2 linked regions of the Oryzias latipes genome follow. The main gene of each other region encodes a partner of the protein of the gene in region 2 in a complex. Links are inferred from orthologs where the notes say so. Each region holds a gene or a part of one and is shown on either strand. Other genes may lie near its edges.

What was found.
Region 1: sf3b2 (region 2) and ppil2 share a complex: the UniProt entries of both Homo sapiens proteins name them as parts of the minor spliceosome. The link is inferred for Oryzias latipes from reciprocal best matches to the Homo sapiens genes SF3B2 and PPIL2.

Annotation. Positions count from the first base shown.
Region 1 is NC_019867.2:618,768-622,419, reverse strand, and holds part of ppil2 (peptidyl-prolyl cis-trans isomerase-like 2), read right to left. Parts: intron 3,626-3,652; coding exon 3,465-3,625; intron 1-3,464. UniProt on the Homo sapiens protein: Has a ubiquitin-protein ligase activity acting as an E3 ubiquitin protein ligase or as an ubiquitin-ubiquitin ligase promoting elongation of ubiquitin chains on substrates.
Region 2 is NC_019876.2:19,504,062-19,508,144, reverse strand, and holds the start of sf3b2 (splicing factor 3B subunit 2), read left to right. Parts: upstream 1-1,256; 5' UTR 1,257-1,336; coding exon 1,337-1,460; intron 1,461-1,897; coding exon 1,898-1,944; intron 1,945-2,544; coding exon 2,545-2,775; intron 2,776-3,033; coding exon 3,034-3,069; intron 3,070-3,190; coding exon 3,191-3,263; intron 3,264-3,442; coding exon 3,443-3,543; intron 3,544-3,720; coding exon 3,721-3,829; intron 3,830-4,083. UniProt on the Homo sapiens protein: Component of the 17S U2 SnRNP complex of the spliceosome, a large ribonucleoprotein complex that removes introns from transcribed pre-mRNAs.

The DNA of each region.
Region 1 (3,652 bases), on a different chromosome or scaffold from region 2:
ATCACAACAAAGAACAAACAGGCAAACAACAAACAAACTAACAACCACCAAACAACAAGCTAACAGGCAAACTACAAACAACCAAACAACAAGCTAACAGGCAAACAACAAGCTAACAGGCAAACAACAAGCTAACAGGAAAACAACAAACAAGCAACAAGCTAACAACAAACAATAAGCTAACAGGCAAACAACTAGCTAACAGGAAAACAACAAACAAACAAGCTAACAACAACCAAACAAGCTAAAAACAAACAAACAAACAAGCTAACAGGCAAACAACAAACAAACAAACAACAAGCTCACAACAACCAACAAGCTAACAGGCAAACAACAAGCTAACAGAAAAACAACAACCAAACAACAAGCTAAAAACAAACAAACAAACAAGCTAACAGGCAAACAACAAACAAACAAACAACAAGCTAACAGGCAAACAACAAGCTAACAGGAAAACAACAAACAACCAAACAACAAGCTAACAACAAACAACAAGCTAACAGGCAAACAACAAACAAACAAACAACAAGCTAACAGGCAAACAACAAGCTAACAGGAAAACAACAAACAAACAAACAAACAACAAGCTAAAAACAAACAAACAAGCTAACAGGCAAACAACAAGCTAACAGGAAAACAACAAGCTAACAGGCAACAAACAAACAACAAGCTAAAAACAAAAAACTAACAACAAATGAACAACAAACGAATGAACAACAAACAAACAAACAACAAACGAACAGCAGGTGAACAGCTGGCGAACTACAAACAAAATATGAACACACGAACAACAATCAACCAAAAAGTACCATTGTAAAAGTACCAAGTAAGTAACCAGTAAATTCCATAAAAAGTACACATGTAAACACTGTAAGTACCCAGTAGTTACACAAAAAGTACCATGTAAATACCGCTTAAGTACACTGTAAGGACTGTACTGTAAAGGAAAGCGTTACTGAAAACCTTAGAGCCGGTTTCCAGGGGGGTATTCCAGACAGTAGGTTATGCTAGCTCTCACGGTAAGTTTGAGGCTAAGGAAGTTGATAACCTCAGCTTTCAGTTCCAAAAACAGAGGTATGTTTCAGGGTATGTCAAGTTGCCATAGCAACTCATGCTCTGAACATAACCTGGTCTGGAGCAGGTTTAGTTGAAGGTTAGTTTGTTTTCAGAGAGGTGAAGCAGCATGGCGTGTCCATTTGAAGATGATTTAGTGGATGAAGAAGCTCAGATAATACTTTTTCCACCATGAGAGGGGGATAAGACCACATATGGATGTTGGAAAGAGAAACTTTTTTACTTTGATCTAACTTAGTTATTTGCTTCAGTTAAGATAAATCCTTTGTTTGTTAAGTCAGTTTAAAAATAACACGTAGTTTTCAGACAGTCATTTTACTTTCATTCAAATTAATTCAATTAAGTAGGTTTAACTTTGGTGCTGCTGTTAGACCGGCACCGCAAGGGATTGTGGGATACCATTCCTTTTGCCTATCTGGACGGATTTGGGTTTAAGTGTGGCTTTTTGACCAAATGTGTTTAGTTGTTTAGCTGTTTTGCCGAGTTATTTTGTCCCACTGTGCTTATGTCTCTGCACCATGAGTGAGAGTGAAGGAGAGGATGATGAGTTTATAGAGCACCCCTACCGTTACATATTGTAATGACAAAGACGGACAATTCTTTAATGAATTTGTGCACAATGTGCATTTCTTTCCCGTCCTTTTTATTGTTATAAAAATGAACATATCTGCCGGCTCATACTTAGACATATGAGAGATCAAGAAATATAATTAATTAAGATGGAAAAATATTAATTGAATTGGAGTAATATGACATTTAGTTAGATAAATACATAAATTTGAGTTGTAAAAACAATTATTGAGTTTTATAGACGTAAGAAATTAGGTTGATTAAATTTAACTCAATTATTTGTTACCAATAGAAGTATTTCATTTAAGGTGGCAAAATTGGATAAGTTATATATATATGCGTCACAAGGAAAATGGAAATAAGATCAGAAACTCGTGCGTTTACTTTGTCTGTTCTTTTTCTCCAAGCAGAAACTTTCTTTTGCTGATGATGCAGCCGTGTCACTTTTTTGATGGTCGTATAATCTTCATACGCCGTCATTAATCTCAGACTCCGTCTCACTGAAGTATAGCGTTCTCTTTTTTTCTCCACGCGTTTCCATGGTGACTCCAGAAATCGGCGATCTATTGAGAATGTCTTTATGTACCTGCTGTGCACGTGCATTAACCCAGGGTTACCAAGTGGAGCGTAATTACACCAACTCATATCCGGTCTTTGGGAACCGACATACCCAGAGTAAGCAAGTTCAGGCAGATTTCAGCCAGAGTTCAGGCTTAAAGTCAGGGGAGTTTAAACATGCTTCCTGGAATACCCCCCTGAATAACTGCAATATTGATAATAAAAACATACATTTGTTGACTCCTTGAACATCAGAAAACCTGGTTTTCAGAGAAACGATCAACTATTCATTGAAGAAAAGCTGATGGTTTTAAAATGCCGACAAACTAAAAGGACATTAAAGGCAAGAGAGGCTTTCATGAACTCAACGTTTTGATTTAACATGATGGATGTAAACCTGGAGGCACGCCTCTTCGCTGCAGCGCTGAGGATTTGCGGCCCTCTCGTCCTCGCGTGCACATTTGTTGACACGGCGTTTGAGCAAAGCCGACAGCTCAGTGAGCAGAAAATGAACGTGGAGCCACAGACTTTACACGTTTCTGCTCCAGTTGCTGTGAAAGCTCAGACTTCACCTCATTTGCTGTGTCTGTTCTCTCAGACCACCTTCACCTCCAGACCGCCATGTTCAGGAAACCTCTGTGCCAAACGCAGCCCAGCAGCAAAAAGAAGCTTCAAAATGAGGAGAAAAGCTGCTCCAGTCTGACTGATTAGCTGTCATGTCAGTCAGTCCAACTCTGCTGTAGCTGCACACCTGTCTGTCTGGCTCCCTCTTGTGTTGGAAGCAGATATGGCACTTTTCATGAGCTGCTGGCTAAAAACGAACAGCTGATCTGACAGTGAAACGATCCAGACGGTTCATTTTACTGACAGAGCTCTGCTCCGTGAAGCAGCTTTCATTAGAGGAAAAACCAAACAGGTTGGCATCATTAAAAACCTGCTGTCCTTGTTTTCCAGTCAAACAAAAAGGCAGCAAGGCTCCTACGGTATTTATCATGTGACCAGGAACAGCTGAGCCATTGGCTTCATTTGTCTGAGTTGAAATGATGGATTTGAAAAACAAAAAAACAGCTGAGATCTCTGCTGCATGTGGGAGGGGCTGAGTCACTGCTGCATTAGGCAATTGTTCAGCAGTAAAAACAGAATCTGCTTCATAATTATTCAACAACTCTGAGGAGAAGAACAAGAAGCTCTGACGCTACGCCAAAACAAAGTGTGTCAGAACAACGTCAGGAGGAGTTTATTCCTATCAGGGTTCTACTCACAGCATTTAGTTTGTCCGTTTTCTTGGCCTCCGGCTCCTTCATGGTGGAGGCCAGCAGCTGATCTCCTTTGTATTCCTTGTAGAGCTCGGCTAAGGTCTCCCTGGTTTCCAGATTGGTGCTGTTCAGATGGTACGCTGGGTCCTGCTTGGCCTTCTCCTCGTCTTAATAAAGGAGAATTAAAATAAAAA
Region 2 (4,083 bases):
TTTTACATATTTTATGAGTTGAGTAATATTATAAAAAATATAGTTAGTTGAAGTGTTTTTTTTAGTTGGAAAATATTAAAAACTTTGAGTAAATAATCTCTCTTTTATAAGTTGAGGAATCTTAATATTTTTAATATGAAATAATACAAATTTAAGCCAACTGACAATATAAATTTTAATTAATGTTAACTTAAAAGTTTTAATAATATAACTTAAAAACTATTGCGTAATCTGTTACACAATAATTTTTAAGTTCAGTCAACTCATTAGGGTTTACAGCGATGCATTGGACTGGAATAATGGACTATAATAATCTCCCATTAGTGGGAACAATCACCTAAACACTGACCACTTCTTGGTTTCAATAGTACAATTCCCATCAGCCCTTGTCCTCAAACCAGAATGTTCCCAAGCTGCTTCCGTTTATTACTCACCTGTCTCTCATCTGCAATCACACAACCTCTATATCACTTGTCAAACTTAAGGCCCGCGAGCCAAATACAATACTTGGTGTGTATTCATATCTAAGGGGAATTGGAGTAGAAATATCGGATTGGGCAACTGTACATTAGGACTTAAACACTGTCAATATAACCTAACCTGACAGAATAAAATTTAAAAGGATTTATGCTAGAGTAACAAGCAAACATGTTTTCTGTGCAACTGTGTCACTTTAACAAGTTATAATAAATAAATGAGTTATTTAACATTAAGGAATAATTACGTTTATTTTTCATTATATTTAGTTACCTTTGAGGAGAACCACTATGCTGATGTGGCCCTCGGTGAAAATGAGTTGGACACCCCTGCTATATATACAGAAAACTAGCTCACATTACAAAAAGTTGTGGCACATATTTACCTTTATACTTGTAACTTCTGTTAATTTCAATTCTTAACAACCCAAAATCAATTTAACAAATTATACAGCATCACGTATTTGAGCCCTGCCCTGTCATGGATTTGATTTTGTTCTAGTACAAAGAAAATGCGAATATACTTCAATGTCTTTAGTAGTAGTATATTAGTAGTTGTTGTTGTCATTCATTGTAGTAGCAGTAGTAGTAGCAGCAATGGGACAACGTTTTTACATTATTTACACAAATATATCAATTTGTTTACAAAAAAAACGTTTTCAAAAATCATATTTCAACCAGTTAACGGGCCAACACTGACACCCAGAGACGTCCGTAGGAAAATTAAAGGAAAATTTACAACTTCATATCCCTAAGACCATTGCGTTTCTCCCATAATGCCTTGCTTTTTTTTCTTGTTCTCGTTTCTGTCTCTCGCGAGTTTATCTCTTTTTTCCACCGCCGTTGATCGACTGCTCAACATGGCTTCTGACGGACCGCCGGGCACGGACCCGAATGATTTAGGTAGTGTAATCGCAGCATTAAACACATGGAGCGTCCCAGAGCTTCAGGGGAAGCTGGTGGAGCTAGGAGCTCCAACAATGGGTAAGAAAAGCTCCCATATAGTGCAAAAATCAAAGCGCGTTGTTTTGAAGCTAGCTTACGGCTAGCATTAGCTTGGAGCACATAGTCGTTGAACCTCCGTCATAAAGCGCTCCAACAACAGGCCCGCAGAATGGTTTGACTCCGTTTAGTATTTTCATATGCATATTTTAAAAGCCGTTTTTGTCTAATATTTTACAGTTGGAATACCAAACGTAACAATTGATTGCTTTTGATGATTTCTTACAAAAACTAGCTAAGTTTTTGCTGATGATGATGATCGACAGTTCCATTGTTGTGAACTGCTTAGGATTTGCTAATAATGTGATCAATAATTGGTATTTTACGTCATATGGTACTCTGATTACGTTAATAAATAACTCCAAACCGATGAATTATTATTAAAATAAAATACAATGGTCGTGCTTCTCTTAATTTAGGCTCTAGAGAGGAACTCATTGACAGACTGAAGGGCTACATGATGCAGGTAAGCTCATCCTCGAAATCAACATCACACCCACACAAATGCAACTTCCCATTCTTAATTCATTTTTTTTCTTGTTGATTTTAAAAACTATTATTCAAATGGATAATAATAAAATGTTTTTGAGGGTTTTATACCAATAGTTTGGGTAATCTCTCTTGTAGCCCTTCACATTGAGCCATTAAAACGGTGTGGAACGTTTTTTAAATTTTACGATGTCTATCTGGATTTATGTATGTTTAATTTTGTAAAATGTTTTAGTATGCTGTATAGGGATAATAGTTCAATTGCAAAAATCTCAAGTTAATATGGCAACAAACAACTAAGGGAAATCATTTCATTAGTAGCCTAACAAAGAATAATTGGTTGGCTAATGAAGGCTATTGAGTGGACTTAGTTTTGACTGTTTTTAACTTATCTGCATTGTTCAACTTCTGAATTTATAAATCAGACTGTAGACATGTGATGTTTAGCTAATTTTTAATGTGTCAGGTGGAAAAGCAAAAATAAATGGCCCAAAATAAAAATAAAAAAGATTAATTTCATATCAGTCAGCCTCCTATCTATTGCTCTTTTCACAATATTTTCATTTCTTTTTTTCAGGTGCCGAGCATTCCTCCCATGCCCCCGATGCCCATGCCACCTATGCCCCCAGGGATGGGAATGATCCCAGCAATGAACATGATACCCCCTGGAGCTCCTCCCTCTGGCATGCACATGACAATGGATCATCCAAACATGCCACCTCCTGGTCTCACACAGGACGATCAGCTTAAAATGGTTCAGCAGAGAGCTGCCATTGTGTTACAACAGGAAGAAAGGGCCAAGCATCAGGTGGGATGGCAGAACTGGCCAACTGCTGCATTTGACACATTAATCGCTAATATTGTAGTACTCGGCAAAACAAAATTACTGGACTGTATTTAAACATTGTAAGTTTTACAAAGTAAATTAGGTAAAAACAACGATCATAGATACAATTTTTCAATGTATTTGGGTAAAGCCAACATTTTTTACTAGAGACCTTTAACAGAAAACACCTAAACAGTCACATTTGCTAAACATTGGCCTTTTTTTGTTTGGCTAAAACAGGGGGACGAAAATGAACTTCTGGAGCAGCAGCAACGGGTAAGGAATTGCAAACAACACATTTTGTTCAGCTGTCAATTAAAATAAGGAAGACATTTATTTTCTTTGTTTCTTATTGTGATTTTATATTGCTTGCATCTCTCATTCATTTCTTCCTTAGGCTGCCGTGCTGCTGGAACAAGAACGACATCATGAAATGGCAAAGATGCAGCCAGCTGTCTCTGCAGTAAGAGGTTTGTGGAATATCCTAAAACCTTTTACAAGTGATTCCATTCAAGATCAATGTCACAAAATGTTTGTCAAGGGAAGACGTCTCTGCTTCCTACAGTGTTGCAAGCTGACGTTAAACCAGCATTTAATAGTATATTTTTACATTATCAATCACAAATTTGTTTTTTTCACAAAACCAAAGTTTCAGTTTTGGATCCTCACGGGCCTTTACCTCCTGGTGTCACCTTGTTGCCATCTCATAAACAAAAGGTGCCACCCCCTCCAGGAGAAGATAACAGAGACGTACGTTTTTCCTGCACTTCTCTAATTTTTGTTTTAGACATAGGTTAACACTAATTCTGGTGTGATTTAAGCAAAGTTAGATTCTTTTGAAGTTTTTTTAAACTCTTTGAACTTTTTTGATTAAAATGCGACAACCTGCTGGTTTAGTGTTAAACTGCAATTCCTTTCTTCCTGCAGATCTGGCAGAATGAAGAGATTAGTGTTGGCGGGCCCAAGATCCCACAGGCTCTGGAGAAGATCCTTCAGCTGAAGGAGATCAGGCAGGAGCAGCTTGTCGATCCAGCAGGTTAGACTTACAAAATAAAATATCTCCAGATTCTTTACATTCACTGTTACTGTCGTAAGGTATGGCCCCTAAAACATTTTTATTTTAGGGTATAGCATGGATATGTGTTTTTTGGTTATTTAATTTAAAGTCTGATTTTTTTTTTTTTTTTGCTTTATTTTTTTCAACAGAACCTGATCTGCCTTAAGTGTGATTTTTTTTATTACTGATTATAAAACCAAAACAAAAAAGCATAGTTAAAACTTTAATCAAGA